3 separate regions of the Mus musculus genome follow, and regions 1 and 3 are each reported to be linked to region 2. The links are microRNA targets in miRTarBase. Many come from high-throughput screens and were not tested one by one. Region 2 holds a microRNA gene; each other region holds the end of a gene's coding sequence. Distances are between the middles of the regions.

Region 1 (5,072 bases), 50 Mb from region 2:
TCCTGTGTCTTTGGATGTTATTTAGTGATGTTATTTCTTCCCTAAAGAGCGAGGGAACTTCAGGGTGGGTGTAGCTCAGTGGCAGAGCACTTGCTTAGTGTACCCAGGCCCTCTCTTCTCCAGATCCGATCCCCTAGTGCCCCCCTGCTCCCCAGGAAAAAGAAGAAAGTTAAATTAAGCAGAAAATATCACTTAGAATAAACATAATGCTTTTCCCAGTATTCCTTAGCACTCTTGCTCATTCATTCCTGAAGCTATAGGGAGCAAAAGGCACTTCCTATCTTATGGCATTTATACTCGTGGGCTGCTACTCTGCCATATTCGTTATGATAACCTTTGTCTGTACCCCTGAGCTCTTTGTGACCCAGTTTCAACTCCTAGACAGAAGCCAACATCCTGGTAATTCTACTTAGCACCCTATGAAGATCCTTAAACACAGAATATCTTCAACTTAGTAGAAATTAAATTGTTGTCCATCAGTGTAGTACTCACTTCCTTCATTCCTAAGCACCTGCTAATAGCCTTTTACCCAGGTAAAAGGGCAGGAGAATGGGCTCGTCTTCATGCTGTGTTAATATGCCTCCAAGCCAGGCAGGGAGGTGTATACCTTAGTCCCAGCATTTGGGAGGCAGAGGCAGTTGGATCTCTGAGTTTGAAGCCTGCCTTTTCTACATAGTGAATTCCATGACAGCCAGGATTACATAGTGAGACCCTGTCTTAAAAAGCAAAAACCAAGAGAACCAAGCAAACCAAAATATAAAAGCTTATAGTTAACCATGACCACAAAGTAGGCACTGTTACAGTATGCTCTTCAGTCCTTATCTGTTTCAAAGAATATTTTCTTTCTTTTTTTTCTTCATTTACTATTGCTTTAAATCAGTGGGGATCTGATATTTTAAAACTTGAATTTGAATAGACTTTTTATTTTTATTTTTTAAAGGTTTTTGAGGACTGCCATGAAGGTGGTGAGATTTCGCCGTCTAATTGTATTTACATGACAGAGTGGCTTGAATTTTAATGAGAGCTGTGCACTTTATCTACATTTGGCAAACTGAACTCCATGGAGAACAAACAATTCATGATGGAGTGTAAATTTCTTTGAAAGCATACTTCACAATAATGGATACTGACTTGCTGCTATGAAAACATTTATTTATGAAGACAGAACACAAAGCAGATTGAGTTTAATAAAGTTTAATTGGGAAGTCTCTTCTTCAGTAAGTAAAATACCTTGAAGGTCTGGAAGGCAAGGAAAAGAAGCCAGCAAGCCTATGTTGACCAAGTACTGAGATAAAGGCTGGAACGAGAAGATGTTCACTAGAGTTGCTTCATTGAAAACTCATCGGGGTTATTACCACCATTTGTTTGGTTGTTTTTGGGTTTTGTTGAGAAGAAATTACAAGTGGTGCAGACAGGAACAGCTGATGGCATGTGTGCCATCTTGGGGCCTGGGTAGTCAAGTGGGCATTCCTTTTTCATGCCATCTGTTGCTCTTCACCCCAGGACTCTTTCAGGGGAGTGTGCCTCCATACCGACCTCACTCCCAAATGCTGTTGTACAGGACGTGTTTCCACATCACTGTTATTCCATGCTAAAAGAAATAGTCTCACTGTTCCTTTTTTGTTAAGGCTATCACTTTTCTCTGTATGCCTTAATTGTATTATTTCCTGGGTTTTTTTCCAGATTCTCATTCCATGCCTGTAGTGTGACTCTCTCTACCACTAGTGCCAAATTCAAATTTTACAGTCTAAATTCCAGGACAGCCAGAGCTATATAGGGAGAGACCCAGTCTCACACATACAAATAAAAATAGAACATTGCCCTTCATTCAGTCTCTGAGGGTTGGTAACCAGTATTTAGCTGGTGCCCTTTTCTCTTATTCTTCAAAACACTGGTATGACATGTCTGAGCAGAAAGCCATCACTGTGTACTTTCTCAGTCCTGGCTGTTCGGCCCTGGAAAACATTAATTGGCGTGCTGTTGTACAGAAGGTAGCCTCTGAAGGATCTCAGCTCGTGGATTGTCTCTTTCTAAAGATTTATTTATCTGTAAGTACACTGTAGTTGTCTTCAGACACTCCAGAAGAGGGCGTCTGATTTCATTACAGATGGTTGCAAGCCACCATGTGGTTGCTGGGATTTGAACTTGGGACCTTCAGAAGAGCAGTCAGTGCTCTTAATCCCTGAGCCACCTCACCAGCACTCCCCTCCCCTTTTTGTTTTGAGACAGGGTTTCTCTATGTAGCTCTGACTGTCCTAGAACTCTGTAGACCAAACTCAGGGATCTGCCTGCCTCTACTGCCCAAGGACTATGATTAAAGATGCGATACCCGCACCTGGCTCTTTTTTCCATTTTTATCTCTCTTACATATTTAATTTTCTAGTAAGGTAAGACTAGTGCTTATTTGATAGGTCAGGCAGATCGGACATTGTTACCATGCCGCACCTCACAAGAGGTGGAGGGAAAAAAAACCCTGTGTTTTATATATAATCTAACACTTAAAATAGCTGGTGTCATTGAATGCTTACTCTTATAGAGCTGGCCATAGACTTCATCTGATAAAAGTGAACTAGTGAGTTTGATTTTACTCAGGTAACTAATGATGCTATTCACTTAGAGCACTGTCAGAAGGTGGTAGAACTCAGCTCCACAGAGGATCCCAGTGCAAACCCTTTAAGTTGGTCCATGCTTTTGGCTTATATAAAAAACTTAGTACGATCAAACAACCTTAGACACGAAGTAAGCTGAGTATAGTGGAAAGCCTTTAATCCCAGTACCCAGGAGGCAGAGGCAGGCAGATCTAGGACAGCCAGAGCTACATAAAGAAACCCTATCTTGAGGAACCAAATAACAATAAAAGAGAGAAGTTATCTTCTAGCCAGCCTGGTCTACAGAGTGAGTTCCAGGACAGCCAGGGCTACACAGAAAAACCCTGTCTCGAAAAAAAAGAAAAAAGTTGTTTTGGAAATCTGCTCCGCATTCTGTTTTGTTGTTAGAGATAAGAGCATCACTCCACACTGGCCTGGAATAAACTTGATGGCCCAGGCTGGCATTGAACTCAGTTATTCTGCTTTAGCTTTCCAAGTGCTGGGATTCCAGGCACGCATTTAGCAGCCGGGCCTGGCTTTGCATTGTCTTGATAATTAGATGAGTTTTTAAATCAGCACTCAGTGGTTAGAAATGTTCCTTGCCTCACCAGAATAAAGAGAGCTTAGATATTTTTCCTCAGCATTATTTTTTACTCTGAGTATTTTTGCCTTGTAATGTATTTTTTTACTGTATTAACTGAGAAGGATAGAGAAGTCTGAAAATGTAGCAACTGTTCTGTAAATAAAGTGGGAATAAGCTATCAAAAGAAATTGTGGGCCTCTAAAATCATAATGTCACAAAATCAAATTGCAGATGAAGCCCAGATTCTTCATACTCTCCCACTTAGTACTAGGCCTTTTGTTCACCTGAGCACACATACTACTAATCTGTTGAGGACCCCGTTTAAAAGTGATCCATAAAGAAGGGAGACATGAGGTGATTTAGTGGTTCTTAATGTGGATTCTCACATTAAACTTTGAATTTGGCAATAAATAAGTTTTAAATAAGGGTTTTGGTGGTAATTAAGCAAAGTAGTCATATCAATTCTGTGATGGACAGTGATCGAATACTCCTCGTACGATGAGGCCTCTGGCCCAACCATCAACCCAACAGTTAAGGGGGGAAAAGTAGTTTCAGATTTACTATCTGGTAGGTGAGAGATGAATACAAAATATGCGCCCTCTAGCAGTATGATCCAGTAAGACAGCATCTTGAACAGAATCCTGCCTCTATGTTGCTCCTGCAGGGTTTATAGGTATGTGCCACATCTGGACAAATAGCATTTTCTATCATGATGGAAATAGTCTTTATTTGGTGTTTAGTCCAGTAACCTTCAGCCAGATGGCTGGCCAGCACTTGACACAAATGATTAAGAGCTAAGTTTTTATTTAGTTGCCTGTGCATACTGTTTATATTAGACGGCACAGCTCAACAGAGAGCTCTCTTGCATACTCTCCCCCTGGGAATTATTGAAACTCACACTGAAATGTGTTAGTTTATAATTAAGATTTTTAACGTTAGGAAAAAAAAATAAGTGTTTTCATTGTGTGTGTGTGTGTATGTGTATGTAACAGGCTTTTTAGCGGTGATTCAGTCAAGCCTACAATCCAATTTGAGTCTACTTGAATTTGAAATTAGTAATTATTTACTCTGCTCTTTTGAATTCTTAAATTAACATACAAATGTTTGCTATTTGTTTTCTGCAGGATAAAATATATTCATTTGATATATATAACTTTCTGTTTCTGGTATTATTCATTCCCATGTGAACACTTAGAGTACACCTATATATATGTTTGTCGTCCTATCCTCCAAATATACTTATGTTAAAAGTTAAAGTCATCCCTGACTTTAGAAATCCCCAAATCATTTTAGGCTAACACAACAGCTTTGTACCCCTTCTAGGATAAAAGTGTGGGGGATCACATTTCTGCATCTGTCACGGGTTCTGAGTCATCAAGTTTAAGTACACTAGAGATCTTTGGCACCACAGCAGTCAGAAGATACTAGGAAATAAACATTTTTTATTATATCTTTTTACATTTGGTCAAAGTACTTTATAAACCAGTGGAAATGGAATCATCAAACCATTTTATACATTGAATATATACAATATAAAAAGTAGTATTAAAAAGGGGTTGTTTATGTGAGTGAATATGAGAAGACTCGGCAGTGTTGCTTGAATACTCTCTACAAGAGGCTGAACTCTATAGAATTAACCTGGCATAGTTTATTTTATGTATGTGAGTACACGGTGTCTTCAGACTTAGCAGAAGAGGGCGTCAGATCCCATTACAGAGCCACCATGTCGTTTCTGGGAATTGAAATCTGGTCTTCTAGAAAAAGGTTCTTTTGAGGACACTTAGAACTTAATAACACAGTACAGGTTGCTCCCTTGTCTTCCACCTTTACTATTATGTTCATTTTGGTTGTCTTAGGCTTTTCTTGGATTCATAGAGAATCTAAAAATGTTTACCTCCAAC
Region 2 (5,072 bases):
CCAAACATACCCAAATCTTGCCTCTGGCATAAGTCCACAGTAGGTTTGCCTCCTTGGTACTTTATTTGCATTTAACATCTCTTGATAGATCTGTTTCTTTAAGGACTGTTTCCAAATGCTGCCCCCACCCCCACCCCCCAGTTGCTGCTTTCTCCTCACCATGTAAGAAGCATGGGAAGCCTTGAGGCTTCCCAGTCAAGAGCATGCACTGGCTAGCATCTCTGCTCACCTGGAACTCCTGTGATCTTTCATCCAGGCTTATCAGCTCCTGTGACCTCCGAGACTGCCTCCCTTGGGTGGCCACTCCTCACTGTACCATTCAGTATCAGGACGGGCTTGACCACCTAAAAGATAACCAGACGGGCAAGATGACTCAGTTGCCCAGGAAGAAGGTGTGAGATTGCTCACTGGGGTGATTGCAGGCAGTCAAGGCTCAAGGCAACAGAGGCTGCTAGAAAGGGAAGGGGCAGAGCAGTGCATCAGGGTCAAGAGCTGCCAAGGCACGGGGTGGTACTGCTGCATGAGGAGACCTTTTCAGAGACAACCACAAGTGTCTTGTCATTGAGAAGGCCGGAGATAATATGACACTTCAGGAAGTTTACTTGAAACCAGGCCCTGTCTTTGCCTCTAGCCCGAGACAGGCAAATCAGACAAACTTAGAGTAAACACGCATCCTCAGAAGAAGAGCAAAGGGAACAGTACAAGGTGTGTGGTGTATACTTTTGAAATAGATAGGGTGGGGTGAGAAGATGAACAGTGAAGATCACAGCAGGTAAAGTGGGCCCCAAATGGGACAGCTAAGCCCTGCTTGGGTCCCTGTCTCTGCTCATTGAACACAGGGGACCTAAAGGGAGTTCTGTGGTTCCTGTGCGCCATCTTACTGTCCCCCTCCCAGACAATGGCTGGTCTTGATTTTTAAGACAGGCAAGAGCTACATTCAGTATTTGGCTTGGGAGACTAGGTCTTCACTGCAGCTTTCTAACTATGTCACACATGACATCCCGCCTCGCTCCCTCTGAAAAACAGACCGGGTTAGAGGCTGCCAGCTTACACAGGCCCTTCAGGCTTGGCATCAGATGCAAGTGTCTAGAAGTTTCCATCAAGCACCTGATTCACTGGGTAAGGGGTTATGCATTAGAAGTTTAATAACTAAAGTGATTACCCCTCCACCCTTGGCTTCCTCCCTCAACAATGGCACCCTGGTTTCAGAGGCAAAAACAGACTTCCACTGTCCCTGAGCTGATGCTGTCACCCCACACAGGAGAAGAAAAATGCACAAGAAGCCACAGCTTTTCCCTTTTTGAGGAGAAAAGGAGACTAATCTTTTCACCTGCCCTCCTCAGAATGAGAGACCCTTCTTCACAGACCCCCCCCCCCCCCAGTAGGACCCAAAGTGAGCAGCCTCCGCTCTAGGCTGAAGCTGCCTGGCAGCAACAGCAGCATCAGCAGCGGCAGCAGCGGCAGCTTTGAGACAGCAACAGTTGTCTGGCTGAGGCGAGGTGAGGACTCGCAAGCTGCACGACGCCTTCGGCAGGGTGCTTTAGGGCCCTGGAACTCCGGTCCCAAGTCTAGTCTGGGTGGGAGAGATGAGGGCTCTGGGGGCTCAGGAACCCCAAGGAGCCTGTGTTCAGGTTATTCGAGTTATCGTCTCTAAGGTCACCTCGATCTCAAATCTGGTGAATGGTCGGGCTTTTGGAGAGGGAAGGGCTTCCTGACTAGGGAAAGGAGGTGGGATACAGTAAGAAAAAGACAGAAGAGTAGGTGAAGGGACACAGTGCGAAGCTATTTTTAATCTAACGTGGCTTTTCTGCCTCTCCCTCTGCAGAGCTATCGCTCCACAGACGGCCCCAGGTGAGAGGCAGGAAGAAAATCCCCCCACAGCTTTTGCTCCCTCTCCATAGCATGTTCAAATCTTTGAGACCCTTTTACTCTTTCAGAAAATACATTCGGAGGAAAAAAATATCCTTTATCAGGGGAGAAGGACCCTGATTTAGCTGTGGAGTCTGGAGTTCTCGCATTCTGTGCCTTCTTACGTACTGAGCTAGCACCGGCTGCCTCTGTCCAGCATTCTCAGCATCTGCTAGCCTTTCTTTTCTTTCAGGAGGGGGTAGAGAGAGTAGAGCTTAGGTGGTTAACTATGGGACCCCCAAAATGAGTCAGAGAGTTTGTTGAAAGCAGAAAGGTTGGGATGCGGGGGGAAATTCAGGCCCTCCCCGAAAATGGGAAGCTTTGCAGCCCCGGGGTGTTGGGCTATCACATCCCTAGATACATCCTCTAACTGCTTTTCACCCCCATAGACATTTGCGTGTGTCTGTGTGTCCTTCTGGCCCAGTCCCTAAGGGCAAGGGTGTCTAGCAGTGTTCTTAGCTAGCGAAGGGCACGGGGCACAAAACGTGTTGAAGGCCTGATTTGTGCCACTTGTAACCGAAGTGGTCACGACTGCAAGGAGTGGAGGGGGAGGAGGGGGACCCACGGGCTCTCCCCTTTGCAGCTTGCCTCCCTTCCCAGGTCTAGGAGCCTCGAGTGGCCAGCATGGGGCTGCTGCCTCTGCCACTGCTAAACAACTGCAGCTCGCAGAAGCTCCTTCCCCGCGGGGTTTTCCCTAGTTTCCGCCTGTTTCATCCTCTCCTGCGCTACTTAGTTTTGAAAAAGAGGAGATGGGTGGGTACTGGAGCCTGCAACACGCCTGAAATTAGGTTGGAAGCAGGTTCAGGAAGAAGGCTCCGGGGAGCGGGCGGTGCCTGGGTGTTTTTCCCTCTTTTTCGGAGCTACCGGATTCACGGAGATTCATCTCACCTCCTCTAGATTCCGCTCATCCTAACCGAGGATGGTTAGGGCCTACCGCCCCTCCCTCAAGGGCTTCCCCTCCCCCATATTAGATTCCAATCCTTAGGGTCAAAAAAAAAATGACCGTAAAATTTCCTAAACTGATTCATATTCTAGGTACTGACTTGGCCCTATGGCCATGCCCCCCCCCCTTATTGTGAGTGGGGATATTTGGGGTGTGGGGTGTGGGGGAACGACACAACTTCTGTAAACTTTTATTACATTTTAGCTTCTTCTCACTTCTTCGAAAACACACGCACGCCACCCGCTCCAATTCCCCCTGTGGTACAAAGTCGACTAAAAAGTTGGGGGCGGGGGACATGTCTCGGGAAAGCGAGTGATCAAAGCCTCGCGGAGCGCGGAAAGGACGGGGAGGAAAGAGCTGATTCTTCCGTGGAAAACGGGGAGAAAAACTGGGGAAGTCTCGGATGGAGCCGCTTCGGGAAGGTGCTGGCTTCGGCGGTCGCTGGTAGCTGCAGTCACGTCGCCGAGCGCGCCCTCCGCGAATGCTTTTTGGGGTAAGGGCTTCCGGCTATTGAGTTATGTACAGCAAGCCCAGACCGCAAAAAGATTCGCGAAAGGCAGTCTACCCGCTTCTTCGGTCCGCCGCCACCGCCGCCGCCGTCGCCGCCGCCTTTAGCCCAGCATGTCTCCGAACCCCGAAGCCGAGGAGACTGGATCTCCCCGGCGCGCTCCACCGCGGCTCATCCTCCCCACCCTGCGCGCCGCTCTCCCCTCCTCGCGTCCCCAAACCCATCCCTCTCTCTATCTCCAGATCCCCCGACTCAGCCTTGCACAACCTCGAAGAGGTAGTGGAGAGCGATAAGGGTAGCTCGAAGGGGGACCCCGGATCCCAGAGCCCTGCCTCCACCCCTCTCGCCCTAGCACTCCAAGCCTCCGATCCTATCTAGTCTATCACCCAATTCCCCCATCAGGGTTCTGACAGCCCTGACTGCAAGGTCGTGGATCTCTGAGCAGGTACGATCCAGATTTCCCCCGAATCCCCTCCTATCCTCCCTAGTCCCCCAGCAGAGGTTCCAGCCGTGACTACAGGCGCTGCGTAAAGAGAAAAACTCCCCCAGAGCACTAAATAAATACAGACAAGGCCGCCAGCTCATTGGTGTGGACTAAAATCGTCACCCACCAATCAGAAGAGAGCTCACATTTCTTTTTTTTTTTTTTTTCCAGAAGGGGGAGGGAGAAAAATATTTCCATTTCTAATTATTCAACAAAACCTAGACTAGAACACATTAAAATATTGTTGTTCCAAAAGCTGTCCATGACTCCCTCCCATTCTAGCCCAGGTGAGGGGGTGGCAGTGTATATTGGGAAAGAGGGATTCAAGAGAGCGACCTCTTCCATCGGGACCTAAGCCAGAAGAACCAGACGGAAAATGACTGGCAAAGATGAACATAAAACAAGCTCAAATCCCACTCTAGTTGGCCTATTTCTAGAAAATTAGACCTTTTCGAGTCCCCCTACCCCACTCTGCCCCCCCAAAGTTCTGAATGTTCACTAAGAAGGGTGAAGTTTCTCCCTCCCCCAGAGCCCCCAACCTGTCCAGATCATGGTGTCTAATGGCCCATTTGCCTCAGGTGCCCTTCCTTGTTGCCCCCCCCTTCTGCAAAATATTGAGGGAACAAGAAAGGGTGAGCTGGGCATTGACTGTCACAGTGACAGGAGATTCCAGCATCTGCAGGAGGGAGGGGAATAGAGAGCTAGAGAGGAAGGAGGGGGCAAAGTCTCTCCTCTCCCCCCTCCTCCCTGCCCTTTAAGTCCCTCCCCCATTCCATCTAGCCTAACTTAAGGGGGATGCCCTCTTCTTTATGTGCAGGCCCACCCAAGTCCCAGTGCCCTCTTGCCTAGCCCCAGGGATGCCAAAGGGTGTGATTAAACAAACGCCTATCTCCCTTCCAGTAGGGGGTGAAAAAAAAAAAAAACTTAAGTCAGGGTGGTTACTACAAGCATCACAAGAACTTGGGGGCAAAAGTTGGGTTTTGTTTTGGCTTTTTCACTTTTTTTTTTTTTTTTTTTTTTTTTTTTTGCCATCCCAGAATGGACCTGCAGGCAGGTACGCGCGCGCGCGTACACACACACACACACACACACACACACACACCCTTGGCTTATCATACCCACAGAATGCATTTCTGGACCTGGAGCCTTAGTCTCCCAAGTTCCTGTCGGCCCACCCACTCCGCCCATTCATCACCCTCCTACAGCTCTGTGACCCACCCACCCTCCTA
Region 3 (5,072 bases), not on the chromosome of region 2:
AGTAAATTTGACATAAAATCGCTTCCAACTTTTCCTAAATTTTTCATTTTCCTATTCATTTTTATGTATATGGGTGTTTTGCTAGCACCCAAGAAAGTGCCCAAAAAGCAGAAAAGGACCTTGGGTCCCTGGAACTAGTTACAGTCAAGCAGCATCTGGATGCTGGGAAGTGAACTGGGGTTCTCTGCATGTAAACAGCCAGTGTTTAATCACTGAAACTCCTCACTTTCAATTTGGTTGGCTCAAGAAAATACACAGCTGGTATTCTCAGGATAAACACATTACCTGGCTTTAAAGTAAATCTCATCATATTCTATGAAAAACAGAAACTCAGATTTTGCTAGCTACTTAAGAATGCCAGTACAAAATGTACTTGAATTAGCACATGGCTGGCCTCTAAATATGGGTCAATGTCCAGTTTAGACATGCAATGAAAGAGAAACAACTCTTCATAATCCTAACAAGTACTCAACCATAACTCCTGTTAAAACTACAAATAAGGGGCGACTTAAGGGCACTGGTCACTCTTCCAGGGGACCCAAGTTCAATTCCCAGCACCCACATAGCAGCTCACAACTGTTTGTAACATGGTGGGTCTGACTCCTCACACACATAAAGACCAAATACTAATGCACATAAAAAAATTTACAAATGACTTCAATGATTGTAGATGTATAGGAATTTGCAGGAAAAGAATTTAAATGACAAAATGGGGGCTTCATAAACTGGAAACCTAGAAGAGAAAGGAAACACTTGAAGGGCTAGAGAGATGACTCAGCTGTTAAGAGTCCAGAAAACACAAGTTTGATTCACAGTACCCACATGGTGGTTCACAAGAACTTGAAGGCGGCTGGTGAGATGGCTCAGTAGTTCAGAGCACTGACTGCTCTTTCAGAGGTCATGAGTTCAATCCCCAGTAATCACATGGTGGCTCTCAATAATCTGTAATGGGATTCTATGCCCTCTTCTGGTGTGTCTGAAGACAGCTACAGTGTACTCATATACATAAAATAAAAATCTTTAAAAAAAAAAAAAAGGTTGGAAGATCCACCCTCTTCTGGCCTCCTGTGGCATTGCATGCACATGGAGAAATACAGACACTATACCCACACACACAAATTAAAAAAAAACTAAAGACACCTGAAAGCTTCACTAAAGGGCCTAACAGAAGAATCAGTGAACTAGAATCCAAAACAATAGAATGTATCCAAATTAATATTCAAAGAGAAAAAAACTAGTTTCAATGCCAGTATCTGGTTATCTAAGAGTCCAGTAGAGAATAAAACTGAAAGGCCGTATTTGAAAAATAATGGGTGAGAATTCAGTTAGAACCTAAGAGTACTGTGGTTGTACATACTTGCAGTCTCAGCACTTCGAGTTGAAGCAAATTAATTTCAAAGACAATCAGGGATACACAATAAAACCTTATTCAAAATAAGTACTTCCCTTCCCTCCCCAATAAACCCTTGTTTTTTTTTTGTTTCTCTGTATAGCTCTGGCTGTCCTGGAACTTACTCTATAGACCCAGCTGGCCTTGAACTCAGAAATCCACCTGCCTGTCTCCCAAGTGCTGGGATTAAAGGCAGTGTCACCACTGCCCAGCCAGAATTTTTTTCAAAGGGTTAAAAAATGGGCCTCAGCCTATCATCCTTCTGATAGTAGTGTGTTTCTATAATGGAGCCTGACATGGTGGCACAGGCCTTTAATGCAACACTCAAGAGGCAGACATCTTGAGGTCAGCCTAGTCTACCTATTGAGTTCCATGATGGCCACAGAGCTAAAGACCCTGTCTCAAAAAAAAAAAAAAAAAAAAGACGGTGGTCTTTAAGATTTACCAGCGAGAACCTGATGACCAGGACCCCTGAAACCCAGATAAGGCCACTGAAATGGCATGCATTGCTAATCCCATTCGTATTGCCAGAAGTACTTGAAAGCTTGTAGTGAGTAAGAAAATAAGAGACCCTGCTTCAAAAGGTAGAAATATCCCACAAGCACACACAGGTTAAGTGGCCTATAAGTCCTCACTGTTGAGTATTTCTTGGAATCAGTTCCATCCTCTCCATCACTTATCATTTAGTAGGCACTTAATGGAGGACAGCAACCAAAACTTGTTTTACTACTAGAACCTTGAGAGCCCTTTTATTCTATGGCAAAGGGTTTTACCACTAACTGAATGAAATTAGCCTGTTATAGATGGTAATCCTAAGGCTATAGATCCAGCTTAGAAGTAAAGAGTACATGCTCCTCTTCCATTTCCCCTTCCTTTCTACCTCAGTATAGGGTCAAGACCTACACCCTTAGCATCTGCCTATGTTCCTTAAGAGTTGAAAAGGTTCAGGCAGATTGAACTGAAAACTACATTAGGTAACTCCTATCACTAGCATCCGTAGGAAAAAAGCCACACTGAAGGGGTAGTGTATAGTCAAAAGCAGGTGATAAATGGTCAGGAGTGAATCTTTTTGTTTTTTGAGGCAGGGTTTCTCTGTGTAGCCCTGGCTGTCCTAGAACTCACTCTGTAGACCTAGGCTGGCCTCGAACTCACTCAGAAAATCACTTGCCTCTGCCTCCCAAGTGCTGGGACTAAAGGCGTGCGCCACCACGCCCAGCTGAAGTGAATCTTTCAAATGAGAAAGCTTTGTTGCTCTTTAAAAGACCTCTACAAGCTACTCTACCACCAGAATAAGAGCTTTGTGTTTATCTATTAGGTGAAGGCAGATTAACTGCCTTCCCTCCACCCTTTCTTCAGTTCTCATGTTGCCACCTGCTGGAAGAATGAGAAAAGAAAGCAAACAACCATTTCCAGAAAGGTTTGCTGCTTTTCTAAAATGTCTGCCTCGTTTAGGGAGAGCTATTCAACTGTAAATCTTCTGATGATCCTATAGGTTAACTATGTCCTCAATCCACAAAAAAATGATGTCTGCTAGCACCAGAGTTGAACCTTTCCTTTGCTATTGTAGTCTTGGGGGTCTTCTGTGTAGCACTGGCTATTCTGGAATTCCTTAGCCTCAAATTGGTCTGCCTTCTAGGATTAATGACAGCTGAGTGCCTTCAGCTACATGCCATTAATCTTTAACAAGGAGGTTAACATAATCAAGGGCTCCACTCCCCACAGCAAAAGAACCCACCAAACTGTTCCCTGCTACACAAATCTAATGCCCACGCCATCCTCACTTTTAGACAGGACTGCGACTGCAATGGTCATACCACATACTCAAGCCACCAGACAGGTGCTAAGCGCAACCCTACAGAGGGTCTTTGGTTGAGAATAGCTGACTGGTCTTTCTTGAAAATCAGTTTGTTGGGAGTGGGACTTGGAAAAACACCTACAGGAAAGTTTCTATTAAGGTTATCTAGGCACCCATGCCTTATACAAAACAAACAAAAAACAAAAAAACCAAACATCCTTGATAGATCACTGAAAAATTCATTAAGTACACAGGCCAAGGGCCACTGTATTATCCCTAGTTAAACTGGACCTCTGACAACCTTTAAGTCAAAAAGGCCACTGTTCCCTCTGTTGGAACTTACAAACCTTGTTTCCCAAAGCTTCTCTCAAATTTGACAGGTCTTGTTTTTTTTTTCAAGACAAAGTTTCTAAGTATCCCTCACTATCCAGCAACTCAGTTCTGCAGACCCAACTGGCATTGAAGTCATAGACTGCTTTAGCCTCCCATGGGATTGGATTACGTCACTCCCAGCTTGCTGCTGAGACTTGGTACTCAGTGGCTAAAACTCTGTATTTGGTTGTCTGTGAGGTTTTTTTTTCTTGTTTTTTCAAGACAGGGTTTTTTCTCTAATAAACAGCCCTGGCTGTTCTGGAACTCTCTGTACACCAGATCAAACTCAGATCTACCAGCCTCTCCCTCCCAAGTGCTGGGGTTAAAGGCATGTGCAACCATCCTGGCTATGTGAATTTTTCAACCCAATGGGGTACCATTCCTTGTCCAGGTCATTTCAGATTGCACTGTACTGTTTGTTCTTATTATGCTGGGAATAGAATTACATACCACACAAGCTCTTGTATGGTATTTCCAGCACTGATCCATGTGCTCTATCAACCACTTTTCCAGTACACACCCTTCTAAGATACAAATTAAATCTTCCAGATCAGAATCATGATGAAGCTGTTCCCCACCAATTTCCACATTTGTAGCTGGGAATTCTTGAAAGCAGTAGGAACACAACTGAAATTCCCACTGGGCAGAGTTGGTCTTGCCAAGCTCTTAAGCAACAATCCAAATGTAACCTCTAGGAAGTATTAAGTCTGGCAACAGAGTTTAGGATCTTTACTGTCTTGGAATGTCCTTAGAAGGCTCTGTCATTGAACAGGTAACAGAGTAAAAACCCCAGAGTCCTTTCTTTAAAATGAAGAGGGAAAGAATGGGATGGAAGGAACTATTCAAACTTCGTCTTCTTTCCTTGTGGCTTGAAGTCTCCCCCTCCTCCTCTGCCGCCTCGGAAGCCTCCTCTACCTATAGGAAGGAAAAACATCAAAGGGTGATACAATTAGGACTGACCTTCCCATTTAAGGTGGTTGGTTAGGACACAGGTTTAGGAATCCGTTTCCAGTTCCTTTCCCTTCCTTACCTCCAAAGCCTCCCCGGCCTCTTCCTCCAAATCCACCTCTTCCACCTCTGCCTCCACCTCTGCCTCCGAAACCTCCTCTGCCTCCACCTCGACCACCAAAGCCACCTTCACCCTTAGGTTTGGCCCAGTCCAAGGTAACTTTGTTTCCGTCAATTTCTCCATCTTCCATGGCCTCCTTGGCAGCTTTGGCATCTTCCTCACTATTAAAGTCTACAAAACCAAACCTAAAACAGAAAAGAAAAACAAAAAAACCTCACCCATTAAGTAAACACATTTTAAAGTAACACAATAAGTACCAAGTCACCCAAGTAGAGTGACCAAAGTACTCTTCAGGTCGAGAAAATCGCCAGTATCTCATAATGTCTCACACAACAGCCAAATATACTTCTGCAAAAACAGAAGATAAGTGCCAGTTCTGTGAATTCTCTCTTCTTCTCGTGCGAATCCATAATCTATCACTGATGGACAGAAAGGAGCTCAATGAG

Evidence for each region. Region 2 holds the annotated microRNA mmu-miR-129-2-3p (AAGCCCUUACCCCAAAAAGCAU, at 3,333-3,354, opposite strand). A microRNA usually pairs through its seed, bases 2 to 8, with sites in the 3' UTR of a target mRNA and lowers its output. Matches are read on the target gene's strand: a 7mer-m8 pairs with bases 2 to 8, a 7mer-A1 pairs with bases 2 to 7 and ends in A, and an 8mer does both.
Region 1: the mRNA of Polr3f is a reported target of mmu-miR-129-2-3p. Seed matches in the 3' UTR shown: 7mer-A1 at 2,914-2,920.
Region 3: the mRNA of Ncl is a reported target of mmu-miR-129-2-3p. Seed matches in the 3' UTR shown: 7mer-A1 at 2,488-2,494 and 7mer-m8 at 2,133-2,139.

What each region holds. Positions count from the first base shown.
Region 1 is chr2:144,537,672-144,542,743 of GRCm38, forward strand. It overlaps Polr3f (polymerase (RNA) III (DNA directed) polypeptide F), which reads left to right. Exons shown (of 9, transcript NM_029763.3): 9 at 941-4,108. The coding sequence ends at 1,018. It overlaps Rbbp9 (retinoblastoma binding protein 9, serine hydrolase), which reads right to left. Exons shown (of 5, transcript NM_015754.2): 5 at 4,594-5,072. Among named protein-coding and RNA genes, the nearest start is that of Rbbp9, 11 kb to the right of the region's middle.
Region 2 is chr2:94,238,044-94,243,115 of GRCm38, forward strand. It overlaps Mir129-2 (microRNA 129-2), which reads right to left and starts at 3,410; the gene lies at 3,321-3,410. It overlaps Mir670hg (a long non-coding RNA gene), which reads right to left. Exons shown (of 8, transcript XR_003953878.1): 4 at 230-344. It overlaps Mir129b (microRNA 129b), which reads left to right and starts at 3,335; the gene lies at 3,335-3,399.
Region 3 is chr1:86,346,225-86,351,296 of GRCm38, forward strand. It overlaps Ncl (nucleolin), which reads right to left. Exons shown (of 14, transcript NM_010880.3): 13 at 4,588-4,811; 14 at 1-4,472. The coding sequence ends at 4,396. Snora75 (small nucleolar RNA, H/ACA box 75) reads right to left here and starts at 5,061; the gene lies at 4,946-5,061.